Linked DNA regions of Arabidopsis thaliana. The protein of the gene in region 2 interacts with the protein of the main gene of each other region in a pairwise test. Each region holds a gene or a part of one and is shown on either strand. Other genes may lie near its edges.

The links. Proteins that work in one complex are often made in the same cells at the same time.
Region 1: the proteins of AT1G16705 (region 2) and AT2G45820 interact in a two-hybrid assay, tested with the Arabidopsis thaliana proteins (one large-scale study listed by BioGRID).

The regions. Positions count from the first base shown.
Region 1 is NC_003071.7:18,861,791-18,866,992, reverse strand, and holds AT2G45820 (Remorin family protein), read left to right. Parts: upstream 1-2,251; 5' UTR 2,252-2,416; coding exon 2,417-2,570; intron 2,571-3,260; coding exon 3,261-3,314; intron 3,315-3,409; coding exon 3,410-3,497; intron 3,498-3,569; coding exon 3,570-3,846; 3' UTR 3,847-4,040; downstream 4,041-5,202. Other genes in the region: DTA2 (downstream target of AGL15 2), read right to left, coding at 1-386, 490-669; AT2G45810 (DEA(D/H)-box RNA helicase family protein), read right to left, coding at 4,675-4,753, 4,839-4,912, 5,012-5,100, 5,178-5,202. UniProt on the Arabidopsis thaliana protein: Exhibits a non sequence-specific DNA-binding activity.
Region 2 is NC_003070.9:5,709,742-5,715,259, reverse strand, and holds AT1G16705 (p300/CBP acetyltransferase-related protein-like protein), read right to left. Parts: upstream 3,173-5,518; 5' UTR 3,027-3,172; exon of another isoform or gene 2,816-3,026; 5' UTR 2,792-2,815; coding exon 2,745-2,791; intron 2,384-2,744; coding exon 2,269-2,383; intron 2,080-2,268; coding exon 1,927-2,079; intron 1,813-1,926; coding exon 1,738-1,812; 3' UTR 1,508-1,737; downstream 1-1,507. Other genes in the region: HAC12 (histone acetyltransferase of the CBP family 12), read right to left, coding at 1-86, 327-568; AT1G16700 (Alpha-helical ferredoxin), read right to left, coding at 3,566-3,661, 3,762-3,873, 3,985-4,052, 4,151-4,264, 4,345-4,436, 4,547-4,600, 4,701-4,779, 5,195-5,248.

The sequences.
Region 1 (5,202 bases), on a different chromosome or scaffold from region 2:
GGGTACCACCGTAGTAACTGTACGATGCCCCACAGAGTAAAAACGTCTCTTGTTTGGATTGACTTTCTATATTTCTTAACGTACACTCTCCCGTCGAGGATTACTACTCTGAAATGCGCCGTCCTCCTGGCTTTCTCAAGCATCCCTCTCGTTACACCTGTCTCTTTCCATGGCCGTAGATCTTCGTGGATCCAACGGAAGTAAGAAGGACACGTGGATATTCTTGAATGGCTGCTTCTGGGTTTGTCGTTGTTTCTCGAGGAGCCATTTTGGGGAAATAATTGAGTTTGGTTCTGAACGACGCCGCATTGGTTAGGGAATCTTTGGCTTGTGATTGGTGATTTTCTGATACTAGTTGTTACCTGCTTCAGACCTGTAAAAGTTGTCTGAAGTACAGAGAGATATGAATTTATTAACTCTTCAAGTTCAAGATTCACTTGATTGAATAAAAAGTTTCTAAAAAAGAAGTTACTTCAGATTCGAACTCACGAAATCGAAACAACCCAATAAGTCTAAGAGACCAGCAGATATGAAGAGAGAGGTGACGAGGAACAGAGTAGCTTTAGCGATGCTTTTTGCTGGATGCGACGCCGTTTTAAGATAGACATACTTATTCTTGTTCGTTAGAAGATTGTTGTTGTTCCTCTTCATGCTTTTCCGTTGAAGCATGAATCTATATCTATCTCAGCTTTATATATATCTATGTTCACAAACATTCAACAGGAAGAGAAGAAAAACGAGAATCAGGTGAGATTAAACGTTACCGAAGCTAGGAGGAAGCTCAAAGGTTTGATTCTGGTGATCGATTGGTGCTCTTCCACGAGGATTTGAATCTTGTTTCACGTTATCTTCAACACTAACCAGAGTTCACATCTTTTGTGTTAATGACGTTCATATTTTTGTGTGAATCTTGTTTACTTTTTAGTTTTTCGAAGAGTTAAAATGTTTTTAAATATTAAATAGATAATATTTTATTAATTAGTAGGAGACATTTGGTCATCCATATTTGGTATTCCTATGCTCAAATCACATATGGACATTGATATGTGATACACAAATGTTTCCCAAATAATCGTCTCTTATTAACGTTGTATTTATTGGTAAATAACTAAATACAAGACCTTTGATGTTCTTAGAAAAATAATCTGCTTACTACAAAAATAAAACTGCAAGAGTTCAATTAATTAAAGTCCTCTTTGGGAAAGTTTGTTATAAGTGCTTTAAACTGAATAAAAGAATCCGAACTTCGAAGAAAGAAGAAAGAAGATAAACCTTAACCCATTAAATAAAGGTCAGTGACATCATAGTCCATATTCGACCACTCATCATCATACAAGACAGATAATTAATCGTAAATAATTCCATGTTGTAGAGTACTTTTTATTATTATACAAATACATTAATACATCTTTCACAGGCTGTTCGAAACTGTGAGTCTGTGATTAGTGATTAGCCTTAATTAATTTACTTTATTGCTTTGTTAGAAAAAAAATTACACCTTTCTTTAAATTAAAACAAGTTGGGCAGGAAATTTAAAAACCCGTTGGGCCATTAGGATTCACAAAAGCCCAACACCTACAAAAAGAGATGTCTCCATCTCATAGTCCATATACCACATGCTTAAACCAGTTTAAATTGCATATACCACGCGCCACATAACCGGAAAGTTTTGTACACGCGCGAGACACAGACATTATCCTTTTTGTATCTGTCTTCCAGCGTGTCGAGTCAGTGAGGCTCCACGTCACCCTTTGATCCACTTAAATTTTAAAACTAAAATAATTGTTTAAATGAATTCGAGTGATTGATATTTTATTATAGATTTAATACACACCCGACACTCTGTCAATTCTATAGGCATACGAGCTCACTCCAAATTTAGATTCAGTTTTTTAATACGAACTTTTTAGTTAAGCCAAGATTAGCAATAATATAGATCATTTATTTTCTTGATTGTAGTTTGATTGTTGTTTTTCTCATAATAAAAAAATCCCAGCTAAAATCTGATTTTCAATTTTAAACCAATTTATATGGTAAACAAAATTTTAGTTCGGTATAATTGGAAGAATTAAGTTTTGTTGAATATCAGGAAAAAAGAAGGGGAGGACAAATTTTCTACAGAGGTGACGTGGCATCATTGAACCACTTTACTTGTCGGCAGTGAGGTGTGTTTAATCACGTGTAACGCATCCAATGCGTATGAGAGCTTTACAGCCGCACGATCACATGGGTACAAAAATCAACGGCGAAGCAAAACAAGAGTCTCACACTTATTAAACGCGCGTAGTACGCTCCACCGGTATAAGCTAACGGAGGATATAAAAACTCTTTAACTCATTATTGTCCTAAAATCTCAATTTTATCCATTTTCACGGAAAAAACATAAAATCTGTTCTTCTTCTTCGGCTGAGAGACAATGGCGGAGGAGCAAAAGACGAGTAAGGTTGACGTAGAATCTCCGGCTGTTTTAGCTCCGGCGAAGGAACCGACTCCTGCTCCGGTGGAAGTCGCGGATGAGAAAATTCATAATCCACCTCCCGTCGAGTCCAAAGCTCTTGCCGTTGTAGAAAGTAAGCTTTCTATTTACATACGTGTGTGTTTTATATATGTTAATCTTCTACTTAGGAGGATTCATTCATGTTTACGATGAATTATTATAGTATGTAATTCAGAATTCTTACGTTTGGAACTAAGGTTTCAATTTACAATTAACAAATGGATTTTCTTAAGATGCCTAAGGTTTTTGTGAGTTCTTTTGCATATGACTTGGTCTATACTCTATTTGTTTAGGTGAAATCCATCGCTGTTAGAATTTACAACTTCATCATGGCATTTTCAAGAGAATTATGTTTTTCGAGGATGATATTATTAAAATATGATTAATAGTAAAGCAATGTTCCCTGTAATTAGTGTTATCAAAAAGTGTATGGAATCATGACAAATTAGTTGTGGACAGCTATGAATTAAGGAAAGTGGGTTACTTTCTTAATATTCCTACATTTTTTCCTTCCTTTAAAGTTGCTTAACTCTTGGAAAATAACAATTAAGTACTAACTTTCCAGCAGTTTTTATAATCCTTGAACATTCATTTGTTCATCTTTATTTACTATCTGTAATTCCTTCTGTGTGGAGTTTCGTTTTATAAACTACTATTTTGATGACCTTATTAGCCAATTAGAGCAACAAAATTTAACTTAGTTAAAAGTGAGCTTCTTGCAACAAATATCCATGTGTTATACTTATAAGTGTGCTTCTTGCAGAACCCATCGAGGAGCATACACCTAAGAAAGCTTCATCTGGTTCGGCCGATAGAGGTCAGCTGATAACAACACTTTGTTTCTCATGTCCAGTTTCTTAGTTACTTAGTTCAGTAATTTACTTCAAATGTGTGTTGTGTGTGTTTGGTCAGATGTGATACTTGCCGACTTGGAAAAAGAGAAGAAAACGTCATTCATCAAAGCATGGGAAGAGAGTGAGAAGTCAAAGGCTGAGAACAGGTAAACTTTCATCATCTTCTCACCCAAAGATTACTATTGCTTACAGATCTCTGATGATCTTGAAATGGACAGGGCACAAAAGAAGATCTCTGATGTGCATGCTTGGGAAAATAGCAAGAAAGCAGCCGTAGAAGCTCAACTTAGGAAGATCGAGGAAAAATTAGAGAAGAAAAAAGCGCAGTACGGTGAGAAAATGAAGAACAAAGTAGCTGCAATCCACAAGTTAGCAGAAGAGAAGAGAGCAATGGTTGAAGCTAAAAAAGGAGAAGAGCTTCTCAAAGCTGAAGAAATGGGTGCTAAGTATAGAGCCACTGGTGTAGTACCAAAGGCAACGTGTGGATGTTTCTAAGCCTTTATTGAATTTGTATCTTTGTAACAATTCATCTCTGTTTCTTTCTTCTTCTTTTGTTTTTGTGTGATTCAACAACTCTTTTTAGTTTTTGTTATTTGTTTGGTCGTTTGTGTCTTGTTTACATATTGGGTGATTGTGTGTAAAAGTGAAAGATTAATGGAGTATAATTGTATGAAGCATCAAATCTTGTTTTGCCTTTTGTTTCAGTTGTACGACTTCACATCTGATCTGTAACTCTTAAAATGCTAAGACACTTGACTTGACACACACCAACTATAATCCTTAAACAGTTCAGGCACAGGTGGAGATCTAAAAGCAATAAACAAGCGAATGAAGTTAAAATGTCTTCTTCGGTTTGATCTCACTACTCGGAAATTCCTCTCAAGTCTTCAAGATGAGAGAACATCAAAATGAAAAGGTGAAAAGGTTTCTAAGAACATGAAAATTAGAGATGAGAGAAGACAACTTTAAGGTTCATATCATGCAGCAGAAGAAGTCTTCAATTCAAACCAAATCAAGCCGGTACTGCTTTAAAGGTTTAGACACAATCAACCGCTTCCATCGCCATCAACCACCTATACTGTCTCTTCTTGCCTCAGTACAGTACTCTATGTGTTGCCTTCATCTCTAGAACGAGCTAGTGGCTGCCAAAGCTGAATGATTTGCCTCCTCACTACACCTAAATAACCGCAAACCAAAATCAATGGAAATTTGGTCTATGAGCAATGCAGGTTAGTTCTAATGTCAAGATGCCTAGAGAGGGATTTGTCTCACCGGTTAGTCCATCAATGCCTTGCCGGGTAGAGAATGTACACCAGGTAGAAGTTACTGACAGTAGATTGCCTTGTCGATAAGTGAAGGTATGGGCTTGATTTCAGTTCCAAGTTCTTGCTCTGTCTGATACCTGTTGGAAACCAAATAATTGAGTAAGAAAGCTATAGCATCTATGAAAAGAGAGGCCACACCAGTTGAGAAAAAGAAACACGAACATTTTGAAGCGGTCCTCATAAGTTACCAAATTCACAGCCAACCCAAGGTGTCCAAATCGTCCTGATCTGCCTACCTGGTAATATAATGAAGCAAAAACCCATTCACAATTTGAACAAATAAAACAGAGCAGGTTCTCAAGAAGATAAACCAAAATCGGCTTCCCTTAACATACCCTATGTAGATACGACTCAGAAGTCCTAGGAAAATCGAAATTTATCACCACATTCACAGCTTGAATGTCAATCCCACGTGTAAACAAATCTGCAACAGACAGACATTCCCCGTGAAACATAAACACATTTGTCAATGTTCAAGCACATGAAATACACAAAACGTACCAGTGCAAACAAGATTTCTGCATGC
Region 2 (5,518 bases):
CTTCTAAACGTCTAGCAACATCCATATACTTTGCCTTTGATGCAGCATCAGCTGGAGATGGTTGCCGTTGCTGTAACATGTTAAACCTGGAAAGAATGAAAGAACAAGAAGGGCAGTTAGAAATAGTCCCCTATGCAGTAACCATCAAGACATCTCAGAAAGCAGAAACACTAAGTTCTTAAGAAATGAAGCAGATATGCCGTAATGCAGCCAAAGGAGTAATACGTTGGTCCATTCCCCGCCCACATTGAAACAACATTAACTCAATCCATAACACAGAGGCAACTAACAAGCAAGCAGTGCTATAGCTGAAATTGAAGGCTTACACAAGAGTTTGCATGTACTGTCGAAGTTTCATAATATCATGATCCATGGCACCAACGATGTTACGTGAAGGCCTTACACCAGTACCAGAACCAGTAGCAGCACCAGCACCAGTAACAGCAGTAGCAGCACCATTACTACCAACTAAATTCTGCATTTGAGAGTTTCCATTATTCTGCGGCACTGTCCCTTGGTTTGGAACCTGCCCAGACCGTTGACCAGACATGTGAGCCTGAACATTCATGTTATCTCTTAAATCTTCGTCGTCGTCTCCTAATTCGTCTTGCAACTAACACTAACAGGCACTGCATAACTCTTCTGTCCCCGAGAAGCCAAAAGATCGAAAGTTCATCTCCTGCTCTTTATTATTCTTACAAGTGATCTCAGTGTAGCAGCTCAATACACCTAGCACCGTCAAGTGTCCTGCAAAATAATATTCCACACTTTCAATTGAAGTGACATGATTGCAATTCAGTCGAACTAGAATCATAGACTATGATCAAAGCAACTAAAACCCAATAGCAAAACCAACAAAATTGTAAACAATTACGAAACAGACAACAGGAGGAGCAATAACCTTGAAATTGACTCACAAAGAAACAAACTTCAGCCGCAAAGAGCAAAACCCAGCAAAAAAAATCTTCCCCAAAAACGTTACTAAAGATTACGATGATCGAATCTTGAAAACGAAGTAGAACGGAGCAATAAAGTCGCTGAACAGCCGATGTCGCACGTGTGAACTCACACAAGCCAGGATAAAAAATAGGATCAAACACAAGTACGTAGACAAATCCCAGAACGAGATTCCTCCAAAACCTAGACGACGAGGAAATTGAAATATCGACAAATTATTTCGAAATCAGAGAAGTCTGAATTCTTCGATTTGGGGATTTTGATTTATTTTTTTTGGCTATTTAGGGATTTTTGGTTTTGATTTTGTAAGTAACAAAAGACACATTAAATAACACTTACCTTATGTTACTTATGTCTGAATACGAATCATCAAGGAACCTCTGTCAAAGTTAATTGGGGGAACCAAGGTCGACAATCCAACAGCCAAGGAGAAGTGTCGGAGATACATGCGCTCCTATCCGTCCGATCAAATGTTCCAGTAATTTAAATCTTCACACCCTTGTAGTTTTTGCTCTGTTTACTTTCGCAACTACTTTTTTTTCTGTACCGATTACCAAGAGTAACTAATAATAAACCATTCAAATTCATACATGTTCCAAGTCTAACCGGAAACAAATCATAACCGGTTTTACCATTCCTACTTTAGATCTTACAATTAGCAATACAGTAGCAATGGAGAAGGCAGAAGCGTTAGTATTGTATATGTTATCATCTTTTCCTTGTAACATAAGCAATGAAAACGTTTCCAAACAAGTCGTAAAAAGAACTTTCTGATAATCTTCATGGCTCAAGGCTCACTGACTTCAGATTCTCAGCAATCTCTGTCTCGCACTGATCTCTGTTCTCATTATCCTGCTCCAAACCAAAAAAATTTGGAACATCACAAAGTTCAGAATGTTTATAATATTACATTTCGAATTATACGCCTCTTAATTAAAGCTCGTGAATAATTCGATGTATGTAATGTACCATTGTGGGTTCAGCAGAGACTCCTGGAGTAGGTGTTATGGTTGTTCCAAGCGTAGAAGAATCAGCATGTTGGTGCTTGTACTTATTCAATTGCCTGCCTTTTATTAAGCTTGTCAAGCGAGATTCAAGAGTTGACGGGTTCAAGTATTCCTCCTGTGAGTTTTGAAGTTAAAAGTGTCAGAAACGAAAATATTTATAAGGGAGGACATATAGCAAACAAGCTGGATTCAGTGACAACATGTCAGAAGGCATCAACCAGTCTTGTTTAGTTAGAACTTAGAAATTCTCAGTAAATCAAATCCTAAATGCTTATAACTAATCAAGTAAATATAATTGATGTACCTTTGTCATAGCCATTTTAAAAAGTCCTTCCTCTAAGCGTTTAGCAGCATCTAAATGCTTCCCCTTTGATGCATCATCATTCGGAAGTGGGTTTCGCTTCTCTAACTGGACGAAGCTGGAAAGATTGGATGATCAGTTAATTTGAAACGTTTCCTCAAATGAGGTAACAACCCATCAAGAAACCCTCTAGTGTGGTTCGGAGATATACACGCAGAGAGGAAAACAACTATGAACACCAATGTGACAAGACTGGAATCCAAATAAGTAACATTTCAGTAGTAGAAACACTAATAGATGATATTGTTTCTTAAGAAACAAAGCAGAAATACATGATCACAGAGCCAAAAAGCAGTAATAAGTTAGATCATTCCCACTTTCCCAGACACATTAACTCAATCCGTAGTACAGCAGCAACTAACAGAGAAAAGGAAAAGAGTGCAAGAGGAACGAGTGAATGTGAAAAATTGAAGGCTTACATAGCGTCTCGCATGGACCGGCGAATCTGGAAAACATCATTGTCCATGGGAGCAAGTGTAACGTGAAATCCCTAAAGCAACACCAATTAACCAGCATAATCATAATCAGTAGTAAAACCAAGCATAAGCAAAGAAAGAAGATACATCTAAACCTCAGATGATAAAACCTAGGACTTCAATCCAACTTTAAAATTTGATACACAAAGAAAGAAGCAATCTTCCACCGCAAAGATCAGAGCCTAGTGAGGAAGATTCTTCCTTACGAGATCAAGAAAACGTAACCTATGATTACGATGAAGAAACAATGTCGCACGTCTAAACTCACGCAAGCCAGGAGGATAAGTAAAATGAGAAATCTCTGAAAGAGATCTTGAAACCGAGAAGTAAAAGAAGATGAGAAAGCGAATTTAAGACGAAATTCCAAATAGAGTAAGTTCCTGAGCTGGAGTTTCTGCCAATCAGAGGTTTTTACTAGATATGCAATTATGCATGTTCATGCCAGTCTATTAAACTACCATTTTACCCTTGTATTTCTCTGTATTTTACATCATTAATGTTCTCTTCAGATATTAGCAATTTTTTGTTAGACACTTGACCGACCGACACTGAGAGTAACAACACCATTGAATCATATCATAATCCATTTACCGCACGGTCCAGCTCAAACCGGAAACAAAGCCAAATTTGATTTTGCCATCGGTATGAACTCAAGAAATACAGATAGCAATAACAGTGCAAAGGCTGAAGCATCTTTATTTGTAACAGAAGCAAACGAAAACGTTTCCTTAAGAATTAGGCAAAAGGCATTTTCGGATCAATATTCAGCGGTAGAGGCTCTCCGACCTCAGATTCTCTGCAATCTCTGTCTCCCACCTATCTCCATTCTCAAGAAGCTTCTCTTTGTCATACAGAAGTTCCTGCACACCAAAAAGAATCAGAATGTCATTTATCGAATAATACACATCTAACTTTAAGATCATGGGCAATCTTATGTCTTTCTGAATTGTTTATACAGACCTCATGTGTCTCGGTTGCAAACTCAAAGTTTGGTCCTTCCACGATTGCATCAACAGGGCAAGCTTCTTGGCAGAAACCACAATAGATGCATTTCGTCATGTCGATATCATACCTGTACAGCTCCGAACAATCACTACACTACGAAATATATAGAAGAACCATAGAGACAAGACAGTATTAAATAATATATATATGGTTAATAAACGGGAACTTAGAGGGTGACCTAGTGGTTCTGCGGCTTCCATCTTCCCGCTCCTCTGCCTCTATTGTGATTGCTTGAGCTGGACATACCTGATGAGCAAAAGACCAGTATCCATGAAAAATCACACTTTATGTCAATATTGTGCTGTGGTATGAATTCTCGAGTAGCATAGACTTCAAAAACTCACAGCTTCGCAGAGTTTGCAGGCAATGCAGCGTTCTTCCCCAGTTGGATACCTTCGAAGAGCGTGTTCACCACGGAAACGAGGGCTCAATGGACCCTTCTCAAAAGGATAATTGATCTGCACAAAAGATAAAACTTGAGAATCAGAATATTTTTCTTTCAGCCTAATTACTAGAGTCAAGGGAGACAGCCACTCACTGTAACTTTTGGATCAAAGAAGTACTTGAGGGTCAGTGACAAACCCCTGACCATTTCAGTGAGAAATAGGGTGTTCATGCTCCGTTCAAAGACTGTAAAAGTAAGAAACATCAGGAATCGCTAAGACTCGCAGAAGGAAGTAATCAGGAAGGAATGCTAAGAGAATAGAAAGGTTGAAAAGTGTCTGGATCAAATAGCTTACCAGTACTCCAGTCCTTGGAGATCTCTTTAGCAAGCTGCTCAGCTTCTTCATCATCTACATATTACCAGAGGCAAAGGATTAGTAACCTATATTCCTGAAAAGTCATAGCCTAAATTAACCAAGAGAACCCAAATGGAAGCAACAAAATTTATACCTTTGTTGCTTCCATAAGATATAGCACGGGACTGTAGCCCACAGAGATGAGATCCCTGTAAACCTTGCCCTGAAAAAGCCTATCAACAAAGACAAGGTAGATGTTAAATGCGAGAAGAATTCCATAGCATAGCCACCAAAAGAGCTATTGAAAGTAAAAGTTAACTACCACGACGCTCTCAGTTAAAGTATTTATATTTGCAGAGATTGAGATAACAACATTTAGGCGATACATTCTCTCTTCAAGGAAGAGTATATGATCTAAAGGAAAAATGAAGCTTCACGATTGATGTACCAACGCAATACAAAGAGATGCATAGAGGAACAATACCCAGGAAAAAAAAAGACAAAAACATGTATAGCAGCACCACTTGCACATGCCTAGAGCCGGCCGGGGCAGACAATACCAACTAGTGATTTCAAAAAACTTAGCAGCAATTCCAAATTTCTAGGAATATAAGCGATATAAAATGGAAGAGCCTACGAGATTCTTACGAGATGTCGAGCTCGGAGAGCACTGAACGACCTGCGAGCTAGTAGCGAAGCCATCGATAGAACTCAAAATATCAAATTAGGGTCTCTCTTCTTCGATGTGCCTGATGTGAGAGAAGAAAATCCGATTAGCTGAAAAGCTTAATCAAGCAAAAGAAGCATTGAACAAGAGAATGACCAACGAAAAGCCTAAAATTCCATCCGAACCTTAAACGCGATACTCAAAAAAGCAAAGCTTCTGCACGAACCCAGAGAAAGTTCGATCTCACAAGAACATTGACACGAATCCTTTGCTGGTGATTCACGGTCGTCGGAACAAAATTCGAT